Rattus norvegicus: one gene and its partners. The protein of the gene in region 5 interacts with the protein of the main gene of each other region in a biochemical or structural test. Links are inferred from orthologs where the notes say so. Each region holds a gene or a part of one and is shown on either strand. Other genes may lie near its edges. The genes, in order: Lcp2, Lat, Shc1, Erbb3 and Zap70.

What was found.
Region 1: of the proteins of Zap70 (region 5) and Lcp2, one has a biochemical effect on the other in vitro, tested with the Homo sapiens proteins (2 studies listed by BioGRID). The link is inferred for Rattus norvegicus from reciprocal best matches to the Homo sapiens genes ZAP70 and LCP2.
Region 2: of the proteins of Zap70 (region 5) and Lat, one has a biochemical effect on the other in vitro, tested with the Homo sapiens proteins (2 studies listed by BioGRID). The link is inferred for Rattus norvegicus from reciprocal best matches to the Homo sapiens genes ZAP70 and LAT.
Region 3: of the proteins of Zap70 (region 5) and Shc1, one has a biochemical effect on the other in vitro, tested with the Homo sapiens proteins (2 studies listed by BioGRID, with this or other methods). The link is inferred for Rattus norvegicus from reciprocal best matches to the Homo sapiens genes ZAP70 and SHC1.
Region 4: the proteins of Zap70 (region 5) and Erbb3 form a complex in vitro, tested with the Homo sapiens proteins (2 studies listed by BioGRID and IntAct, with this or other methods). The link is inferred for Rattus norvegicus from reciprocal best matches to the Homo sapiens genes ZAP70 and ERBB3.

Annotation. Positions count from the first base shown.
Region 1 is NC_086028.1:19,170,609-19,174,618, reverse strand, and holds part of Lcp2 (lymphocyte cytosolic protein 2), read right to left. Parts: exon of another isoform or gene 3,655-4,010; intron 1,890-3,654; exon of another isoform or gene 1,830-1,889; coding exon 1,732-1,829; exon of another isoform or gene 568-1,731; intron 282-567; coding exon 233-281; intron 131-232; coding exon 47-130; intron 1-46. UniProt on the Homo sapiens protein: Adapter protein primarily involved in signaling pathways within T-cells, as well as other immune cells such as platelets, mast cells, and natural killer (NK) cells.
Region 2 is NC_086019.1:190,369,029-190,373,648, forward strand, and holds the start of Lat (linker for activation of T-cells family member 1), read right to left. Parts: upstream 3,109-4,620; 5' UTR 2,874-3,108; coding exon 2,771-2,873; intron 2,599-2,770; coding exon 2,571-2,598; intron 2,461-2,570; coding exon 2,426-2,460; intron 2,195-2,425; coding exon 2,107-2,194; intron 1,970-2,106; coding exon 1,905-1,969; intron 1,822-1,904; coding exon 1,792-1,821; intron 1,713-1,791; coding exon 1,652-1,712; intron 1,584-1,651; coding exon 1,489-1,583; intron 1-1,488. Other genes in the region: Spns1 (protein spinster homolog 1), read right to left, coding at 3,887-3,981, 4,321-4,492. UniProt on the Homo sapiens protein: Required for TCR (T-cell antigen receptor)- and pre-TCR-mediated signaling, both in mature T-cells and during their development.
Region 3 is NC_086020.1:177,136,992-177,141,527, reverse strand, and holds the start of Shc1 (SHC-transforming protein 1), read right to left. Parts: upstream 2,981-4,536; 5' UTR 2,773-2,980; coding exon 2,278-2,772; intron 1,719-2,277; coding exon 1,648-1,718; intron 1,164-1,647; coding exon 1,100-1,163; intron 971-1,099; coding exon 851-970; intron 475-850; coding exon 421-474; intron 136-420; coding exon 84-135; intron 1-83. UniProt on the Homo sapiens protein: Signaling adapter that couples activated growth factor receptors to signaling pathways. Participates in a signaling cascade initiated by activated KIT and KITLG/SCF.
Region 4 is NC_086025.1:1,597,246-1,601,995, forward strand, and holds the start of Erbb3 (receptor tyrosine-protein kinase erbB-3), read right to left. Parts: upstream 3,135-4,750; 5' UTR 3,013-3,134; intron 2,855-3,012; 5' UTR 2,669-2,854; coding exon 2,587-2,668; intron 428-2,586; exon of another isoform or gene 1-427. UniProt on the Homo sapiens protein: Tyrosine-protein kinase that plays an essential role as cell surface receptor for neuregulins.
Region 5 is NC_086027.1:46,484,169-46,488,621, reverse strand, and holds the start of Zap70 (tyrosine-protein kinase ZAP-70), read right to left. Parts: upstream 3,018-4,453; 5' UTR 2,919-3,017; intron 307-2,918; exon of another isoform or gene 24-306; coding exon of another isoform or gene 1-23. UniProt on the Homo sapiens protein: Tyrosine kinase that plays an essential role in regulation of the adaptive immune response. Regulates motility, adhesion and cytokine expression of mature T-cells, as well as thymocyte development.

The DNA of each region.
Region 1 (4,010 bases), on a different chromosome or scaffold from region 5:
TAAACGTAGCCATTATTATTGTGCATAAAATATGAGCAATACCAACCCAGTAAGGGCTCTCGGTCAAGAGGAGGAGCCAATGAGCGGTCCAGGGGAGGTTTTGTGCTTCTGTCTATTGATGGAGCAGGCACTGGAGTGGAGAAAGCTGAGGTCAGTTAAAAAAGAAAGAAAGCATCCGGCTGGGAATTGGGTGGGTGGGCTGGGGGGGGTGCAGAAAGCACCCTGTACATACGCTTTGCTGTTTTATGGTTCCGATTTCTGCTAGGTTCTTCATGGTTGGGCTGGGCCGGAGACAGTGGCAGCATGGAATTAAAAAAAATAATAATAACCCAGTCCAAATGTTTGGAAATTTTCCCACTTTTCCCTCTCCAAAGGTATCTGGATCCCTTTTCTCCATCTCCAGGTCTGTCCCGCAGCTAGCTGTCAGCTGAGTTGCTGAGGTCGTGCCCCTCTGAACTTCCTCACTCTCTCATGCTTCAGCCTTTTGCATGGCAAAGAACCAAGCAGAAACTTCCCTACCAAGCCCTCCAAGGTTCTAGTCACATCAGAAGTGAAATATGACACCACCATCACCACCACCACCACCACCTCCACCACCACCCCTACCACCCCTACCCCTATCCCCCATCCCCCCACCCCCATGAAGCCCCACAGTAGATGCCCTGCCCACCATTTGAAGCCATTTCTATGTTCCTCGCTAATGCTCCATGGTCCCCGAATAAGGATCTCCTTACAGTTCTCACAAAACCCAAAGCTCATACCTACTCGTGAACATCTCTGTGCCTATGTTTCCTCTGCCTGGGATGTTCCTTCTGCGTTCCCTATGACTGGCTCGTCCTGTGCCAGCTCGGTGTCAGCTCTGTACACTCTGTCATATTACTCGGCCCCCTGTCTTCCTAAACCACATACCCAGGTCATTTCTACATCTGTGTGCTTGTTGATAGCAACACGGTATGAAAGTCGGAACATTCTGTACTGTTCCGTGTTCTTCCCCCGGCACAGAGGACACTGGTGTGAAGTAGTAGCCCCATCAGTATCTGTTGACATGATAGGCAAAGCCTGCCTCCCAGTGGTGGAGGTGCCAGCCGTCTGATTTCAAAAGCAAAATGCCTTTCCTCCCACCACAATCTCCCCTCCTAGCTCTGTCCTGGCCCCTTGCGGAAAGAGCACATCGATGACTCCTTTAGACTGAGCTTCATGTAACCTCCATAGGAGCTGGACTATAATGCTGAATGAAAAGGGAAAGTGGGGCTCGGTGCCACTGTTTCTCTCATGGGCTTCACCGAGTTGGAAATCTTGTGGTCTGAAGGCGTTCATCCCTGGAAGTTCTTGACCTTGCCAGCAGGTGGCGCAGCGCTGCTTGCACGGGGAGGCCTACCTCGAGAGTCTAGGCAACACCGGAAGATGCCAGGCCAGACTTGGTTCTCCCACAGTTAAATAGCGGAAGTAGCACAATGATATTGGAGAAGGGGAGTATCTCATTATACACGCAGTTTATATTGTTTTTGGTGCAAAAAAACTGCCAATAAACATTATGCTATACATAGAAACTGCTTCTATGTCATCACAAAATTGAACTACTGAGCGGAACGTGAGGGTGTGCATTTTTCCTGTCATAACCGCCTCTTACAAACTTAGAATTAGGTCAAGATGCTTAGTTCCTTTTCTGTCTACCGGAAGAACGAATTGTAGTGGAAACAAAGCGGCCTGGAAGAAAGGGAAGAGGCTTACCGAGTGATTCCGGCCTGTTGGCAGGGGAGGGAGGGCGGCCATTGGTCTCTGCGGGGGCACCGGAGGCTGCTGGGAGACCTTGCCGGTGGGAGGCCGGTCTGTGGAAACACAATATTAAAAAGAAAGGAGAGCCGTTTAATACCACCGGGGAAGCAGAGGTAGGTGGATCTCTGAGTTCAAGGTTAGCCTGGCCTACAGAGCTAGTTCTAAGACAGCCAGGGCTACACAGAGAAACTTTGTCTCGAAAAACAAAAACAAACAAACAAAAACCAAGAAAGAAAGAAAAAAAACGAAAAGAGAAAAAATTAAAACGTTTGAATTAGGCTTCTTCTAGAACATGTTGTGCCTGACTATAGCTTGAGGTGTCAGGAGCCTCCTCCAGATCTCCACCGGTACCAGCATGAATTTGACATATAGTCAGACCCAGCCTGGGTCCTACAGGAGGCAGGAAGTCCTTGGCCCAGATCTGTCCCTCATCCTGCAGATTTGGTTTAAGTCTTCTTATACATTGGAATAACTCCCACAGTACCTTACACACAAACAGGTAATATCTGAGACACCTCTAGCCAAAGGAAGCCTCTAGAGAATTACCCCAGTGTTTTCAGATACAAATTCTACATGTGTGGACGAGCAAGGGTTCATGTGCATGCACACATGATCCCTGTGCATATATGTGCACATTTGCAAATATAGAGCACAAGTGTGTGTATTCAACATGCACATGCATGTACCTATGCCGTGAAACATGAGTGTATGCTGACACTTAAGCATGCACAGAGACACGTGTGTGCATGCCTGCATACATATGCTCACACTGCACAGGATTAAGTTCGCTGCCACCCTCATGAGCTCCTCACTCTGTCGCTTCCTTCCCTTCACAGGTACTCTGGGCTGCTATGTTCTCCTATTTCGTCCTTTGTCTGTCCCCTCCCTTACAGGGAGGGGCTGGCTCTCAATTCTGTTACCAAATTAAACAGCCCATGGTCTCGCCCTAGACAGACACATTATTCCGATTGCCACAGAACTTCCCAGAACCAGTTTGACAAGTTTGGGATTTCTTACCCCTTTGGGTGGGAAAGGCCAGCACCGGACAGCGAGGCAGGAGTAGCAAGTGCCTCTAGCATCCTGTACTTTTGGCCCTGGAGGCTTATCCAAGCTGCAGAAACCCCAACTAACAGACTGACTAACTGTTGGTTTGGGGAAGATTGAGGAAGGAGTCTGGAACTTCAGACTGGAAAGGCTGTTGTGGACTTGATCTACCCCTTTGTTAGCCCTATGAAGAATATCATTTCCCTTCCAGAAGGAAGGGGGTTCGGGCAAGGGGTAAGGGGAAGTCTGGTATCCATACCACAGGCTGCCTTTCAGCTCCTCGGATAGCCCATGTTCCTTGGGACCTCAGGGCCTCTGCACTGCCGTTTTATGTGCTTCAAATGTTCCTCCCCTACCCTGTTCGGCGTCATTTAACCAAACCTTCCTCATTTGCCATTCAGTATTTAATATCAGCCGAAGACTGTCGCTCAAATACCACACCCTGAAGGAGCAAACCCGTTTATTATGCTGGCCTAATGGAGTGACAGGATGCATTAGCTTAGTGTCATGCATTAGCTTAGTGTCGCCTCACCCACTCCACCAGGAGTGCTCAAGGATGAGGTCCGTCATGCTCACTCCATGTCTCTGTGACAGGCACCTAGAGATACTCACCAGCCTGGTTTCCCTTTTCTGCTCTGTCTGGAATAGCCTCAGTGATGGCTGAAGCTCCCTGCCTGTTAGCTTTCATGTTCTATCCCTCAATACACAAAGTCAGGTGGTGGGGCGCAGTCTGAAGCAGAGTACAACACAGCTCCCAGGGTGAGACACATTGACCCCTGGATGCAGAGGAAACCGAGTGTGCCTATGCTCATTTTCTGTTACCTCCTCTTCTAGAAAGTAATTCCCACCGGATAAAGGTGCATCTTCCTTCCTGGTAGATTCCAGCACATGGTGTCTGGCTCATAACAGGAGAGGAGAAGCATTCGTGACTTCATGAATGAATGAATGAGGAAGAACATGTGAGTGCAGGACGGCAGGTAAATGAGGAACATCCTAAAGTCTGTCTCATTGTAAAGGCAGAACCAATCCCTCTGAGTGCCCTCACATTTCTTATGACCTTCTGTGGATGGCGGTGCCACATAACCACCCTCTTCCCATCAAGCCTTTGTCCTCTGTTCTAGTATTATCCTGTATTACTCATAAGGAAACAGCCAGAGAGGCAGAGTCTCTGGCCTCAAGCCACCAGTTTT
Region 2 (4,620 bases), on a different chromosome or scaffold from region 5:
TGGTTACAAATGGTGGTGGTGCACGTCTTTAATCCCAGCACTCAGGAGGCAGAGGCAGGTAGATCTGAGTTCAAAGACAGCCTGGTCTACAGAGTGAGTTTCAGGACAGCCAGGGACACCCAGAGAAACCCTATATGGGAGTGTGGGGGGACTATCAATAAAAACCAAATGGAAATACACCTATAATCTCAGAACTCAGAAGCCACAGGCAATTGGAACTCTATGAGGTAAAGGCCAGACTGGTCTACAAAGTGAGTTCCACAGCAGCCAGGGTTACACAGTGAGATTCTGTCAAAAACAAAAAACAAACAACAACAAAACCAGAGCCAGATTACAGACATGATAGTCTAGGGTAAATAGTCTAGGGTAAATGCAGAAGGTTGGGTGTTTCTGAATTAAAACTCCAAAATTCAGCATATTCCAAATCCAAAACCCTTTAAGTACTCGTGCATTACCACAAATGGAAAATTCCATGAAACTTTGATTTCATGCAAAAGATTTTCAAGACTGAGCATGGTAACCTACACCTTTAATTTGAGTTCGAGTCTACTTGGTCTACATATCAAGTTCCAGGACAGCCAGGACTAGACCATGAAGCCCGATGTCAATAAAACTAAGACAAAACAAAAACCTACCTTCAGACTTGGTATATATTATATAATGGTGTATATAAAACATAAGTGAATTAATCTCATGTTTAATCTTGAGTTTCATATTCAAAAGAATTTATTATATATTTATAAATATTTCTAAATCTGTATCGAAGTGTTTCAGGTAAAGGATACTCATGCTATGCAGAGACAAGAGGGTAGAAAACTGAAGATCACCAGACCTTGAGGAAAGTTCAGGGAAGGAGAAAGACCAAAGCAGAGAAAAGCGGTCCAAGAGAAACAAAGACCATGTGGGTACGCAGAAGACATCTTCAGTGAGAGGGGGTGAGAGACAGACAGATATGCAGAACGACAGAGACAGAGACAAGAGAGAGACACAGAGAGAAACAATCTGTAATCAAAGTTCTTACAGACACATTAGATGATATTGCTTCCAAGAAACAAGAACAGGGTACTATACAAAAAGAACTGAGGGGGGACTTTCAGATAAGAGAAATGGATTCTTTTATTTTCTTTTTGTTGATCGTAGTGCTGTTTTGGTTTCTGAAGAGAGGGTATCACTATGTAGCCCAGGCTAACCTCCAACTCAACCCTCCTGCCATAGCCTCCTGATGCTGGGAATATAGGCATGCACCCCCACATCCAGCCGAGAAATGAAATTTCAATGGAAGGGTTCAAGAAGAGTCAGGAAATCTCTTGGACAACAGAGAGGAGGGAGCAAAGGTGAAAGGAAAAACAAGACAATGGAAGGTGGAGAGCAGGAAGCTGGACATCTGAAGGAGGAAATGGAAGAGCGGCAATCATTACAGAGACAGAGGGAGGGAAGGAGAGGCTGGCAGCACATGGCGGAAGGAGGTAGACAGAAAGCCTGACTCACTAGAGAAGGCACTGTCTCCAAGGTCAGGGTTGCTGGGCACCGGAGCAGAGGAGACAACAGGGACGGCAGCAGGACTACTGTCAGGCAGCACCACTCTGGAAGGAAGGAATGAGTTGATAAAGGGTACCCAACTTCCACGGCCACCTCCCACCTCCCCACTCACAGGTAGCCCTCAGGATAGTCATCTTCATCCTCATCTTCATCCACGTTCTTACGGGCTGGCTCTATGAGGAAGGGGAGTCAACATGACCTGGACAGCTCCAGCCTCCCCACCCCACCCACTACCCTAGACCCCAGACCCACCCTGGTTCTCGTAGCTCGCCACACTGTTGGCTTCAAAGAGAGAGGGAAAGGAAGACCGAGTCAGCTCAGGTTGCACTTCCTCCCCAACGCCCTCCTGTGCTCTACACCCTTACCATCATCTGAATTCTGCCGGGAAGATGGCATCCGATGGGAGCCCCCGAGGGGCTGTGGGGATCTCCTGGAAGCCAAAGGCCAGAGATTACATCTGGGTAGGCCTCTGGGAGCAAGAGGGGTTAAACCAGGAAAAAGTGCCTCCCCAACCTAGAAGGTGTGGAAGCACAGTAGATCCGAGGGAGGGAGTTGGGGGATACTCACGGAATGGGGAGCAGGTCTGGCTGCCTCAGGGGTGGGAAGGAAGTGACAAGAGGGTAGGAAGTAGCAGGTGTTCGGGGGACGGTTATTTCTGAGGACACAGAGCAAAGAAAGCTTGAAGGGATGATGCCAGACATCCCCCCACCCTCATCAAGGCCTCTAAGGACAGATGTACCCCTGAAAACCATGCCCTAGACAGACATTGGGGCTCCCACTTCCCCCTATCCCAAGCCAGGTAATAACCCTTCAGACAGCTAAAGATGAACAGGACAAAGGCACAATCTTAAGAAACCTCGAGGAAGGCCAGGGTCACGGAACTCACGAGGTGGTTTGATGAGGATGCTCCTTGGGTACAAACTGGCAAGAAAGAGATAGCCTGAGTACAAGGGCTTGGGCCTTGGGCCCCAGCCCCAAGTCCTTGATTGGAACAAAGGGAAGACACACAGGGCCATGGGTTTGCCACTCACCTCTCTGTGGAAGCACTGTCATAGGAGGCTAGAGGAGAGACAGCCAATGAGGCAGGATCAGGTACATTGGAACAAGACACGCAGGTCCCCCACCCCCACCCAGGACTGAAGTAGGGACAGTTGGAGGGTGAAGGGCCGGGGACGGCATGAGGATTCGATGGAGTGTCCAGCATCCCGTTTGCCCAAAGCTCCCCACTTACCTGGCAACTCACGGCAGCGCACGCATAGGGCAGCCAGGAGCATGACCACGAAGGGCAGCAGCAGGAGGCCCAGCTCCACAGGGCTCAAGGCGTCTGCTTCCATCTGCAGAGCACCTGCCCCAGGCCCTGCTGCACCGCAGCCCCTGGAGGGGTGTGGGACCAAGCGGGCCCCAGCCTGGGATCCAGCAGCCGGCAGCTGCGTCTGCTCTCTTGCTCGACTGAGTTGAGATTAGCGTTGGCTCCGGAAAGGTGTTAGTCCCGGAGCCAGCGCTGGGGCCTGTGCCCCAGCCACCAGCTGCACGATCCCTGTGCCCAGCTGTACCTGCCTTTCTTGCTCCCCGCCTGCCTCTCCTTCTCACCACCCGCGTGCGACAGGAAGCTGTGGTGAGGGCAGGAAATCATCAGGCTCCTCAGCCGGCTGAGCCTGCCCCCTGCCCACTCACCCCCACCCAGTTGTGGGAAGGGGGAGGAGGCAAAGGGACTGTGTGAAGGAAGGGTCTGAGGCTGCAGAATGAGGCAACCCCTCCACTAGGAAAGGAGACACGTGCCAACCAGGCCAGCTGTAGCCTCCTCAGGTGGGAGAACTGCAAGGAGGCTCTGCCAGGGCCTGTGTGGACCAAGGGTACCACTGCCCCCAGCTCCTAGGCTCACGTACTGGGAGAGCGACTTCCAGAGGACCACGGTGAGTCACGGTCACACCGAGCCAGCTCACTCAGAAAAGAGCAGCCCTCCTTCTAGATTACCAAGCCCAGAAGACAGGGACTTACCCACAGGGTGACCTGACAGCCCCTGGTGAATCCGGAGGCTACAGATATTTCCCTGAAGCCAGTGGCAGCCACAGAGAGACAAGCAGTCAGTCGGGAGTCTGATTACAAATTTTATTTACATCCGTTACAAATAGCACCAAACCCCTTGGGCTACCCTAGTAGAGAGGACAACCCCCATTTCTGGACACCCATCTCTTCCCTGGGCTGCCCATGTAGTGTCTGGGAGCTGGGATCTATCCCAGGGCTTCCTTCTTGGACCTGGGCCTGGTGAGGGCTTCTGCCTGGGAACCGTTTGGGGTGGGCCCAGGACCAGCTGTGACATCTATGGCTGGGCTCGAGCAACGGCTCCTCAGATGAGCACACTGGACACAGGGACTCGGGTAGAACGGCCTCGCTGAGGTACCACAATCTGGTCATCTGAGGGCTCGGTCTCATGCAACAGACCTTTGAGAAAGGGATCAGAGCCAAAGCCAGTAAGATAAGAGCCAGCAAGGGGACAGAGGACAAACAGGCAGAGGAATACAGACGAAACAGCAGTGAGGGCCCTCAGAACTGCACACAGGCAGAAAGTCCAATCCACTTTCTGATAGACTCAATGCTGAGCTGGATGAGCCAGGGAAGCTGGGCTCTTGCCCCTGGCAGGTAGCTGGTGGCATGAATGTATGGGACAGTCTGAGTGGAGGGAGAACCGTGGAACGTGTACTTGGAGGCTGACAGACAGGCAGATGGACAGACAGACAGATGGCACTGTGAAGGTAGACCCTGACAGTGGCCCTCACTGACCCTGCACGTGGAGTTGTGCCCGCCGGCGGTCATTCTCAATGAACATGGCGGTGCCCAGGAAGGCCGCGCCACCCAGGGCCCCGACGAAAGCACAGAGCATGAGAGAGAACTGCAGAGCCCGGAACTCGGACAGGAAGGAAGGGGGCCAGCTCCTTCGGAGGCGGTCAGAGATCTGCAGGGAGAGGAGAGTCAGAGACACGGGGATGTGGAGCCCTGACCAAGAAAATGAACAGAAGCTGGGAAGGGGAATGTTTGGGCCGTAGGGTGAGGCCTACAGCCTAATGGGCAAGCCTTCCTACA
Region 3 (4,536 bases), on a different chromosome or scaffold from region 5:
CAGCAGGATAGCCCTATCGAGTATAACTGATCACTTGCTTCTCAGAGAATTGGTCCCACCCAGTGCTGTCCCCCACGCCTCACCTCTCTGATTCACAGGGTCTTTGGCAACATAGGCAACGTACTCAGCTGTGTCCTGGGGAGGGCAGATCCAGGAGGCCAGTTAGCTAGAGTTTACCTCCTGACCCACTAACTCTGTCCTTTTTACATATTTCACAATCCTTGTGCACCACTTCTTTAGCCAGTATTTTCTCCCTCCCTCTTTTGGTTTTTCAAGAAGGATTACTCTGCATGGCCCTGGCTATCCTGCCTCTTGAGTGCTGGGATTCTTGTGTGGCCACCACTCCCAGCCTCTAGCCAGCATCATTTCAGCCCCTAGTTTCTTCTTCCCCACCCGTCTTTTCTCTGTTCCCCAACTCACCGGATCCCCACCAGACGCGAATGAGATAGATTGCATGTGATGGTTGGCAATGATCTGATGAGGGCAGGGTGGAGAAGGAAGGAATGGTAAAGGTCAGGCAGCCTCAGGGCTCCACGTGAACCCACCCCAGCATAGAACCTTGGAGCCCCGGGATCATTCTCTTGGCCTTTTACCCTGCATTCTCCTAATTTCTTTCTTCTTTTGGTGGGGTGAGGCACAAGGTCTCACTATGTAGCCCTGACTAGAACTCAGATTCCTCTGCCTTGGCCTCCTGGGTGCTAGGATAAAAGGTATCACTATACTCAACCTTCCTAACTTCTTCCTCTTCTACTCTCCAGTTCTTCCTGAAGACTGCAAGTTTTTGGCCTCCAATCCCCACTTGATGCTCCCATAACTAACTATCCCTGGTTCCTTCGAGCAGCCTACCCACCTGTTTGCAGTCTGCTGCCATGAGGTTAAGGCTGCTGGTAGACACAGTGAGAGTGATCGGCATTCCAGCAAACTTCAGGTTACTCCTTCCCAGGATAGAGCTGAGTGGGCGGCTGCAGGGCTAGGAAGGGCCCAGAGTCTCAGAATCTGAGTTTTCCCAGCATAAGGAAATACTCACCTTCTCCCGACACGCCCTGCACATGCCTTCCCCTGCCTCCAATCACCCAGCCCCAACACCAACCACACATACCTTTCTCCTCCTCATCGCCCCTTTGGCACCAGGCACAGCTTCACACACCAAACTGATAGCCTCCCTGGAGAAACAGGAGTACTCAGACCCACCATGGGCCTCCCCCTGGCTAGGGCTGCCACAGAGCTGGGGGAAGGGAAGACCAGGCCAGATTCCCAGAGCACTCCAGGCTCTTTGTCGTGGTGGATTGAATTAAGGGCCTTTAATATTTGATGACACTGAGGGGCCGCTTCCTGGCTGATTGGGTTAGGGCCTCAATGGCTGCAGCTCCACCTCTTCCCAGCTCCCGAATGTTCCATCTCCTTCCCTAAAGCATCAGCAACCTCCTACCCCTGCTGCCTTTTCTAGTCCATCTTCCCACAGTCTCCAAGGCTGGATAGTTAGGTGAGGTGGTGCTCCACACCAGAGCTGGCTCCTTCCAGTCAGAACTACTTCTGTAACTTTCAGTTCTCTGACCACCCACGAGAAATCGCCATCAGCACCACCACCAAATGCCCAACTTCCTCCTCTCCCTGGCTGAGATTTCTGTAACTTCAATCCCCACTAACCTGGTGACCTGAGTCCGGGTATTGAAGTCAAGGGCTCGCATTGACTGTAAGACCTCCACGCAACCCATGTACTGTAGGGGAAGGAGGGAAGAATGGATCAGCTGTCCCCATCCCCCACCCCACACTTGCCAGCCCTTTGCAGAAGGTTCTAGGGCTTTGCCTTATCCCTAAGGAAAGTAAAGGTGAAGTAGCTTTCCTACTGCCTGGGGCTACCACCCCATAGGTGTACTGTGAAGGGGAAAGGGGAAAGAGGAAAGAAAGACCGCAAAGAGGAACTTCATGCACCACAGAGACATTATGAGAGGAGTAGCAGGTATTGGGTAGGATGGAGTGACATCTCTGGAAAAAGGAGGAGTCTAAAGGGAAGAATCAAGAAGTCATTTTCATTCAACTTTTACCAAAAGCCTCTGATGTGCTTGAGCATTGTGTAAACTGGGGAGTGGGGACCAAAGGAGGAAAGGCAGAAGATTCGCAGGCTAAATTAAGGGCAGAGAACTGGAGAAGGAATGCACCAGGTTTAAGAACTAAGAGAATGGCACAGATGTTCCAGGGGGAAGAGCAGGAAGTCCCGACAAATCTGGAGGAACTGGAAGGGGTATGGGGAGAGTAGAAAAGGGGATATGCACTCACCCGAACCAAGTAGGAAACCCCAGGTCCCATGACTTTGTCGTTGGGATGCAGCCAGCCTCGTGTGGGCTTATTGACAAAGCTCCCGTGTCTGGTCCACTCCTCGCCCCCCAGCTGGCCCCCTTCTACCCGAGTCCTGCGCCCGCCGCCTCCACTCAGCTTGTTCATGTCCTGGAGGAGGGGCAAGAGGCCTGAGTCCCGAAGGGCTGCTCCTGCACTCCCTTCCCCATCTTCTGCAGCTTTTCCTGGCTCCCCTTTAGGTCCCAGGCGCCCCCCAGCAGGATTGGCCAGCTTCAAGTTGCTCATCCGGGGAAAGAAGGAACACAGGGTAGTCGGGCTATCGTCCCCCGGCAGAGGAGGCAGAATGGGTCCCAGGGATGAGGCTGATGGGGAAGGCAGCTCCTCCGGTGGAGTAGACCCTGAAGCCCCCTCCTCCAGCGATGACAGAGACTCATTCCGAAGTGGGTTGTACTTCGGCTTGGGGGGTAGAAGATCCATGGCTGGGGTGAGAAGGGGGGCTGCTGCCCGGCCCGGCCCCCCTGCCAATTCAGGCAAGGGGGCCAGGCAGGGGGCATCCCCAGACCCTTAGCCTAGTCTGACCTCGGCAGCCGGGTGATAACAGAGGACCTGGGGAGGCGAAGGACAAGTGACCTCTGCTCTCCCAACTCAGACCTAGACAGTTTCAAACCACATCCTGGCCCAGCCCAGCTAGGAAACCTCGTCTGGCTGAGGAGTACAGGCTGGACCCAGAGCTGACTGGCTCCTCCCCAGGGGCGGGGAACTAAGGAGAGAAACCAATCCCCAGGACAGTGCTGACTCACAGGCTCAGAGGGGTTGAGACACCTCCCCACATAATTTGTGTTAGCCAGGCCACTCTCCCCAGCCCAATACAAACAACTAGTGATCTGTCTGGGAAGGAGGAGGTGCCGGGCAAGAAAGAAAGGAAGAATAAGCAAAAGAGAAAAAAGAAAGGAAGGAGTTAAGGAAAACTCTGGACCAATCCAAACAGACCTGGGCAAGCCAAAGAGAGCAGGAAGACCGGGAAGACTGGGAGGGATAGGAAGGAAACAGAAGCTGCTGGGCGGGGAGTGGGGGGAGGGAAGTTGTCCCTCAGAGTTTAGCATTTCCTTTCCAGACCCGGCTGAAGACGTGAATCCCTCACCCCCTAGCCCAGACCACCCCCACCCCCACCATACAGTGAGTGAGGTGGTAGCTCCAGGGAACCTGGGCCATTAGCATCCACCCCAACAGCTGAGGACCAGAGTTGAGAACCAGGAAGGGAAGTAGTCCCAGTGGATGTACTGCGAGGCCCAGAGGAAAGACAAAGCTGAAATAGGAATAAAGGCTAATTCGGGTGGTGCATCTGGGAGCTACCAGACAAGAGCTAGAGCAAGGCTGTTTCTACAAGTCACCAAGGACCAACAGACTTGGGGGTGGGGGTGCTCTTCCAGAGGCCTAGTGAGGAAAGCCCCCAGAGGATATAGAGATCTGGCCACCCCTTAGACCTACAGATATACTTTTACGCCTTATAGGCTACACACCCCACCAGACAGTGTACTTCACACTAGTAGAGGAGTTGGCCTTGGAGGTAGGAGAAAGAAACACACAGAACTGGTGCCTACAAGCCACAAAGGGATAATAGGGCCATAAACAAATCTGTGTTAATAAAGACAGGAAGGAGAAAGGGATATCAGAAGCTGGAATCTGGCCATAAGTGCATAATAATACCAAACCCCTATTTCTTTGCCCACAGTTTCCTGCCACAGCTCTGCTGAAGGCCATTCAGGAAGTTAAAGAAAGTGACCAATCAAAATAGCTCCGGATTAAACTATAGCTTTATTCACTTTTTAAAAAGTAACCAAACACAAGAAGTAAAAGGTACTTTTTTGTTTGTCTGGTTTTTCAAGACAGGGTTCGTTTGTGTAACTACATTGACTGCCCTAGAACTTGCTTTGTAGCTCAGGCTGGCCTCAAACTTACAGAGAATCACCTGCCTCTGTCTCCTAAGTAGTAGCACTTAAAGCAGGTTAAATATCATGCTTCATTCGTTCACCTGTCCTTAGTCCCCATCCCAGAAAAGCTGTTACTGAACACCACGCCTCTTCCTTAAAAGAAATTCTGTCATTCCGTTTGCTAAGACCTCAGCTCTTAGGCACAAGAGGAAAAAAAAATCTGCCATAGCCTTACACTCCCAATCACACAAACACACATCATGCTGTTATCTTGGGAGATGGCTTTCTGTGGTAGCTTTCATATCCAAAG
Region 4 (4,750 bases), on a different chromosome or scaffold from region 5:
GGGGGTCAATGGGAGCTTTGTCTTTAAAGCTGGACGATAAGGAACTGGCGGCCTCCCCCTCCCCAAACTCCGGTCTCCCTTCTCATTCCCTCCCCTAAGCCAACATGCTCCAGCTCCCTGGGCACCACTGTGCAGCCCTGAGTGCTTTTCACCAAACAGAGAAGCCCAGAGAGAGACAGAACAAAGCCTCCACTCCAAAGCCAATTTCATCGTCAGAAGGATTCTTTAAAGAGACTGCTAACATGGCAGTGTTCCCCAGTAGGCACTCCAGGAGAGAGCCCAGAGGAGAGGCCATTTCAGTTCTTGGGCTTTCACTGTCTTCCCTGGAGCTCTTTCCTGTGGTGCAGTAAAAGCACATGGAGAGGAGGGTGGGGGTAAGGGGTACACCACCTGTTCTAACCACCCTTCCCTGAGGCGGGGCAGGGAGAGAGAGAGAGAGAGAGAGAGAGAGAGAGAGAGAGAGAGAGAGAGAGAGAGAGAGTCAGAAAGCCCAGTTTCTCTTGTTAGGTACATGTCTAGTTTGACCCCTTCTAGATCATCTTCCCTATCCTCTCTCCATGATGGAAAGAGTGGGCCAGTTCCAGCAAGAAGCTAGAAGCTCCCAGAGGAACCTGGGAACTCCAGGGTCCTTGGGCTGAAATAAAAGACTAGGAAGGTTAGTCATTTCTGGAACAGCCCCACCCCTGTCCCCTTCCTGGCAGGACACCCCTCTTCCAAGTTAAGGTGCCAACCCTTCTCAGATAGGGGAGGAGCTAGGATATCTGCACAGGGAAGTGATGTGTACCTGTGCGTGCGTGCGTAGTGTCACACATGTACGACTGACACACAAACATGTACACAGTTACCCTGGCACAGAAATAGATAGTGTTTGCCCTGGAACCCATACTCAGAAGCATTACAAGGGGCCAGTCCATCCTGCCTGCCCACAATGCCTTGCACACTTTGTGTCTTGTGCTTTGCAAAGCCCTACAGGGCTCAGTTACCTGCCACCCTGAGGGTAAAGTCCAGATCCCACAAACAGGGGCAAAGGGCGCAGGCGGACAGGACGGGAGCATAAACAACCACCCAGGAGGGACCAAGCAACCTGGGGATCACGGCAAGGAAGCAGTGAAAAATACCGGGTGGGGGTAGGGTGGACAACGCTCACAGAGGAGCAAAGGATCAAAGTCGGAGCCTTTCTCTGTAGAGAGTATTGACTGCACAGACCAAGAGCCTCCAGCCCCTCAGATGCCTCCCCTCTATTGCCACATACACAAGGGGACAAAGGGGCTATACAAGGCTTGAGACAGGGCCGGATGCCCAGAGGCTCAGGAGGAAGATAAAGGGTAGACAAGCAAGCATGCCTGCTCCCTGCCTCTTGAGGAGGGTGGTGGGAGTCCCGGACTCTTGGGTTCTGGTTGGTGGGGGCAGTCAGATGGAACTGTGTTCCAGTCACTCCCCTGGCCCTCCCCCCAGTCCCAGACCACCCCCTCCACCAGCTGGGAGTGTTCACATCTCAAGATCCCAGGGGCTAAATTTAGGCCCAGCAACTGTGGGGGAAGCACAGGTGGTTTCTCCCACTCCCACTCTGCGGAAGGGGCACTGACTGTGCCAACCCCCAAGCAGAGATCTTGGGGTGGGGTGGGGGGAGCAAGATCAACAGGACTCTAATTATACCAACTCCGGTGTTCTTCAGGTGTCTGTAGTCCCAGAGACACCCGTAGGAAAGGGCTCATATGGCACCGAATGGGGGGAGGGCACAAGTTGGGTCTGGGAGCCAGTTCACAGAATAGAATGTTCAGAAGGTGGGAGAAGTGACCTCAGATTGGAGAGAGAAATAGGTCTGATTGTCTTTTTCCCCACAGCCCCAGAATAGGGTATAATACCCTGGAAATAGTGTAGTGTGTAATAGATGCCCAACATGTTAACTGAATTGACCTGGGTCTTGATAAAGAGACGTTGGTTAAGTTGGGGGACCGGCTTATCTTATGGGAAAGCAGGCAGCCAGCTCTGTGAGACCTCTCACTGATGTCACCTGGACTTGGCCCTCAGGTTAATCTCAGCCTTCTCAGGACAGCCCCACTCACGGAAGAGGAGGTGCCACTCTTGTTTTTCCAACATTAGAAAACAACAACTTCCAACCCTTGCATAGCCCCGCCCTGTCAGCAAAACAACGAAACTGGGGGGTTGTTGAAACCTGGGATGGGGTGGGGGCCAGGGAACCTGAGAACAAACTGAGACCCTTCAAGTCAAGGCTCCTTACGTTTACAGAAGGGTCCCTGCCCGCCCTCCTCCCAAGGCTCTCAAGTGTGAATCTACTGTTCTTCATTAACCAAATCAGAATAAGACCAATTAGAGGGTCAGCGACGCCCTGGGAAGAAGGGTAGGCATCCAGGAATGCAGTCCCAGCCCCCAGAAAGCTCCACTCCAAGAACCGAGGCACACGGCCCCCTCCTTGGTGGTGCGAGCAGACCCGGTGTCGCACCCCCCCCCCACACACACTCCCCAGTTCAAAGAGTCAGTGCCCGAACTCCTTGCCCAGGGTCTGCGAGCGTTCAGGTCACACGCTCCCAGCTTCCAGACTTCTGGGGCTCCCGCGCGGCTTACCTGCCTGAGAGTTGCCCATCTCGGAACCCCGGGCCAGGCTGAGAAGGAAGCACAGCACCTGCAGAGTCCCAGTCGCCCTCATGATTCCAGCGGATGGTGAAGGGAGCCCTGCCGAGTCTGGCCCGGGGGCCCCAAGATTAGGAGGACATCGAAGCGAAAGCCACCTGAACAGCCAGCGAATAGGTAGCTGCGGCCGCAGCGGAGGTTGCAAACTGCAACTGGAGCCGGAGTCAGAGTCCGGAGCGGGGCGGCAGGGGAGGGTGTCTGTCTGGGAGGGAGGGACGGAGCGAAGGGGGAAGGGGGTGAGTCACGGCCGCGCCCCCTCCCGTGCGAGGCTGAAGTCCTGATGGTTGTAGCCCGGGACACCCGCCCAAAGGTGCTCCGCCAGCCCGCAGCCTGGCCAAGAGGGTCAAGGAGGGGTCTTACTCCAGCAATTCCCTCCGGAGATGGTTCAGAGGAGATCAAGATTCCAAACGACCCCAGGCCGGGGAAAGGTAGTGACTGCGGGTAAGGAGAGCGCTCCGAAGCCCAGCCCCCAGAAAGCTGGCCTCGCCCATTAACCAAATCACTCAACTCCCCTAGCCGGTTGGATCACTTGAGGGATTTTTTTTTTCCTTCTTTCGTAGTGTGAGTATTTCAGTTTTTTCGAGTGGGAGGTTGTTTTTTAGCCTAGCGTTCATGCCACCTCAGTTTCCCCGGGACGCAAAGCCCCGTAACTCATGTACCCAGCTCGGGAACCCGAGCCCCGGAGACCGCGTGAAATTGCACTGTCTCCGGCCGCTTCCTCCGGCAGACCCGGCGCCGGCTCGGCCTCTGGGGGGATTTGCCTGGGGGGCGGGGGCGGTTTCCAGCCTGGGAACAGACCGGGGAGTCCGCCTTCCCACTTCAGCCCGGGGAGGGGCTCCCGCACCTGTCGCCGTCCCCTCTGCTGCCCCCCACGGCCGCCCGAGAGAACAGCTGTCTCCGAGGGACCGACCGCGCCGTCCGGGCGGCCGCGGTTCCCGCCTCTCCTCCGCGGACCCAAAAGGGCACAGCAACGCTCACACTGGGAGACGACAGTGAGGAGGGGAGCGGAGAAGTCACCGCACATGGCCCACGGGACCCAGGGTTGCTGGGTCCCGGACGGGTCCGACTGGCGCCCCCTGGTGCCCAACCCCTTGCATTTCGCAACCCTTACATTGGCATTCCAAGATTTTGAGAATTTATTGTCCCCTCCCCCTGGGCGAAGACTATGGACTACAATCTTTTCTTTTCTTTTGTTTATTTTTTTTTTTTGGTTTTGAAACAAGGTCTCATATAGCTCATAGAGCTCAGGCTGGCCTCGAGTATATTATGTGACTGACACTGGTGTTGAACTCTGAATGGTCGATCTTTCTGCTTCCACCTCCCAAGTGCGCCATGTCCCCACTCTCCTGCTACAATTTTTTTTAATTTGTTATTATTCCTGTATGCATGATCGTTCGTACTTGTTTCTGCTACGATATGTGTACGGAAGCCGGAAGACGACTTTAGGGGCACTTGATTATCTCTTTCCATTTTTACACGGGTTGGGAGATGGAATTCAAGTTACCAGACTTTCTCTGCAAACACATTTAGGTATCTGTGGTGGCCAGAAGTTGTTGGTTGAATCCCTGGTAACTGGAGTTACAAATTGTTGTGAGCTGTCATGTGGGTCTGGGTAAGAAACCCTAGTTCTTTGGAAGAACAAGTGCTCCCAAACACTGAACCATCTCTCCACGTGCCCCATCCCTTGCCCTCTTGCAACGATTCTTTAAACTTGCTATTGCGTGGGTGTGCCTATCCACCCTTGGCCTTTCCTGGACCTGCTATGTAACAGTTACACTATTAAAAGCAAGAGCACTGACTGCTTTTCCAGAGGTCCTGAGTTCAATCCCCAGCAACCACAGGCTGGCTCACAACCATCTGTAATGGGATCTGATGCCCTCTTCTGCTATGCCTGAAGACAGTTGACACTGTACTCATATATAATAAATAAATAAATCTTAAAAAAAAAGATTCTGGCTTTCCGGTCCGACATCGTGGGTGAAGCCGCTGCAACGGTGCAGATTTTTTGTGAAGACCCTTACAGGGGAGACCAATCACGCTTGAGGTTGAACCCTCGGACACTATAGAAAATGTAAATGCCAAAATCCAGGATAAGGAA
Region 5 (4,453 bases):
GGTTTTCCAGGAGAGATTTGCATCCCAGGGTCTCAGATCTCCTAGAGAATGGTGGCGTGGACCTGACCTGAAAGCTGGGCTCACCACTGCTCTGAGACAGGGCCGAGAACGATGTTCAGAGCTGCTGAGCTGCTGCCTGCTTCCTTCCTGTGCTAACAATCCACTCTGCCTGCCCTCCAGCCACAGGGGCCTGCTCAGTCTACTTGCTCAAGCCCCTGGGTTTGGGATGCAACAATTACGATGTCCAAGTTCAGGGTCTCGGCACTGCTTATATAACCCCTTCCTCCACTCCAATAGTGTCTGTACCCTGACCTCCCTCTAGCACAGCCTCTCCATGGTTTTCCACTCCAAGCCCATCTTTCTGGGCTTTACCACTAAATATGATACACATGTATCAATATGTTGACATCTTGGTCCCTTGCATGCTGCGTTTACACTGTTGCTAAACATCTGAGAGCCAAGAAGATCTACAATTGCCCGTGATGAACAGGGACACCCCTTCAAGAGACAGGCAAGAATGAGGGTCACAGGAAGGGCTGAGAGTAGGCAGCCTGGGGGCTTCACCCTCTAGCACACAGGGCTGAGAAGACCGGCTCAGGAGCCTAAGCCAGCCATGCCCTTGTCCTGACTTTATGCTCCAGGATTCCAGCTGCCCCTCTCTGCCAGAACGTTTCCACCATCCTTCCCAGGATGCACCAGGTACCTAGGAGGGGGAGCCTTCCACAGCCCCCACCTCCCACCTCCCAGCCTTAATGGTCACTGTCTGTCACTCTTTCTATGACTTCTCTGAGCCTGGCTCCTCCAGGCCCACCCCACAGCAGCCCCCTTTCCATCATAGCCCTTGCTCCCTCCCACACAGAGAACGAGGCCAGCTTCATTACAAGGCCATGGGGCATCCTTTAGGATCTACTCCGCTTAACCTGTTCCTCAGCACCATTGCCGCCTGGGAACTGTTACTCCCATTCCTCAGCTGGGGAAACTGAGGCTCAGAGAAGCTGGTGTCAGGCTCCCAACCTGACCCACAGTTACACAGGCCCAACAGAAACCCACACTGATGTTTCCAACTAATACCATGCAGAGCGGAATGCAGAGCTCTGAGCCGAGTCCCTGGGGACTCCATGTCCCCACAGACCCCAATGTTGCCATTGAATTACTTGGCAAGGCCTTGAGTGCCCAGCTGCTGGGGCCAGAGACGGTCTCAAATCCAGCTCGCGGGGTTGGGGATTTAGCTCAGCGGTAGAGCGCTTGCCTAAGAAGCGCAAGGCCCTGGGTTCGGTCCCCAGCTCCAAAAAAAAGAACCAAAAAAAAAAAAAAAAAAAAATCCAGCTCGCTGAGCATCTGTTAACTGATGTGACAATGTCCCTCCAGCCCTGTAGTAAGGTTAGAGCCACAGCCCAGCCTCCACTCACTGGATGCTGGGAACTGCATGACCCTTTAAGCAAGGCAGCTTCTGCCCTCCGGATCTCAAGCCACGGTAAAAGAAAGGTAGGAAAAATCAAGAATCGGGGTGACCCAGGACAGGGTCCTATAGAGTTGAGGAACTGGTGAGGGAGGGGCTGGACGGTAGGGAGGGGTGTTTGATGACATTCTTGGCATCTACCCATTGCATGCCTGCATTGCCCAAGTTCATACCAAAAATATCTCCAGACACTGGCATCCTCTGGGGACAGGTGACATCAGCTGACCCTAGATCAGCATGACTCCCTCCCTTGATCCTTGGGCCTGAGCAGGGGTGGTGTGCATGGGGTGGTCCAGATGCTACAGCCCCATAGAAGTTTCCGGAATCTGTGGTCAGGGCCTGAGACCCTCAAGAGCTAATGATAACAATTAGCCTAACAACCAATTAGTTATACAGCACCTACTATGTCCCTGAACACAGGTGAGGTTCCTCAAGCCCCACAAGGACTCTGGGAATGATGTGTCAGATACAGAAACTGTGAAAGCACAGAGAGGTGAGGTGACTTGCCCAAGGTCACACAGCAATAAGTAGCAGGCAGATCTAGATGGACCCAGGCCCCTGGCCCTAAAAGTATAAGCGTCAATACCATCCAGGCTGCTGGCCCACCAGGGTACCTGCTGGGGTCGCACAGGTGAGACTGAAGGTCAGGTGGGAAGTGAAAAGAAACTTTGGGTTTGTCAGAGGAACCTCAGCAGGTGGCACCTTACATCTTCCAACCTAGGACTTGATGACCCCCATCTTTCAGCAAGGCCCCAGTAAGCACCTACCGTGTGCCTGATGTCCTAGCTAAGACAGGAGCAAGGAATGTGGCTGTTCACCATACGGACCCTGCTGTCTGAGATATTCCTCCAGCCTCTTAGCCAACAAACAAGGCAGGCACTTAACAGGCAGCCAGATCTGTGTCTGCTTGGGTTACAGGCACGCAAACCCAGGCTCAGAGAGGCCAAGAAACGTCCTATGGATACACAGCTACTGAGCGGAAATTTAGTGACTGGTTCTTTTGCCCCAGCCTTCAATATGACCTGTCCATGAGTGGAACAAGAGCCACTGGCATTTTGTTGTCCAGGCTCAGAGGCCTATTGTGCCAGCCTGCCGGCACCCCTTGAGTGACCTGTTTCCCCAGGGGCACCTACTCGCTCCACCTTCAGCCAGACACCACCCAGTTCAGTCCCTTAAATCCTCCTGAGTTAAAGCCATCACTCTGTCCTAGGCCAGTCCAGGAGGCAGGCTACCTTCAGGATGGTTCCATCTGGGCTGCCTTAGCAGGTGATATGTGGTCAAAGTCAGGAGGCCACTTGAAGTCTCTCCAGTCCCCACCACTTGGGCCTACACAAGCCCAGCCTCAGGTCCCTGTGGGCCCCACCCTCGTCACACAGAGATAAGACTAAGGGACTGACATCCACTCACACTCCCTCCACCTGGGGCTCCAGTCCCCAAAAACCAAAGGGCGGCCACTCACCTGGACACCCTCGACGCTACCACAGCTCACAGAGCACGGCAGGGCCTAGCCGCAAGGCCTGCTGTCCCTGGTGCACTTTTTCTCACCAACACTTTTCTCTGCTGCTCAACCTATTTCCTTGATGCGAAGACAGGAAAGAGAGCTGTGTTTGAAGTTGACGTCAAAGCAACAAAATGCTGTGTGGAAGGAAAATCACAGGCCACATTCTCCTGGCGGGGTACAGCACATTTCCGGGGTCATGCAGCATCAGTCGCAAGGGGTTGGGAACACAAAAGGAAGGCGGGGATTGTAGCAGTCAGGGATCCTGGGCAAAGCCTGCTGCCCACAGTAAGCCCCCATCTGAGAATGGGGCAGGGAAGACCCAGAGTGTTGGGAGGACAAGTTCTGGAAAGGAGGGGTCCCTAGAATGTTCCTGTCCTGGTTGGGGTTACTGTTGCCATGATTAAACACTGTGTCCAAAGCAAGTTAAGGAGGAAAGGGTTTATTTGGCTTACACTACCACAACTAATCAACAAATGAAGTCAGGGCAGGAAAACAGGGCAGGAACCTGGGGGCAGGAGCTGATGCAGAGGCCAGGGAGGTATGCTGCTTACTGGACTGCTTCCCATGGTTTGCTCAGCCTGCTTTCTTCTAGAACCCAGGACACCCAGCCTAGGGATGGCCACCCACCATCAGACTGGCCCACGCTGCAATCTCATAGAAGCATTTTCTCAATTGAGCTTTCCTCTCAGATAACCATAATATGTGTCCAGGTTGATATGAATCTAGCCAGCACAGTGCCCAATTTCTTGGAAGCATACTGAAGCAGGCCTCTGCTGGAACCCTAAAGGCAGGCTAAAGCCCTAAAGCTGGGGTTGGGGAGGGGTGAGTCCACTGGGACTTCAGAGCTAGTCTGGTGTTCACCTAGAAAAAGCCAAGATGGCAGGGCTGTTTTGGAGGGGCTCTGGGAAGAATTGGCTCTAGCGTTGGGGCATGAAGACAGGGGTCCCCCGACATTCACACACTCTAGTCTAGCCCCACACAGGACTCCCATCCTGGCCATTTCCCATATCTAGACCACAGCAGAAATGTGCAGTACCCACTCCAGTGCCCCAAGTCCTCTGGGGCTCCCTCCCCCCTGCCACCTTCTTGATGCTTAGGCAGATGCCCTGGAAGGTGTTCCTAAGCGCAGACACCCTCCCCAAAAGAGTCTCTCTCACACGACCATTGGCTTCTGGGTACCCCATTCAGGGTCTCCTCTTCAGTTCCTCCTCACAGGGCATCTACCATGATCACCTTCCCAAAGCCCCTCCCCATTCAGGAGAAGGCTTCTGGCTTGGATCCACTTCCCTTTCTCTACAGATACAGTGAGATCCCAGGGTCAGTGTCTCTGCATGCTAGTGTTTTGTTACTATAGTAAGAGAAGAAAGCCTGCAGACTAAGTCCACAGACCGGGGAAAGAACTCAGAGTGTTGGAATCACATATAGTAGCAAAGAACCAGCCAGACGCTGGTTCACAATTACATGTGAACTTTAATCCATTTTCCAATGAAGGA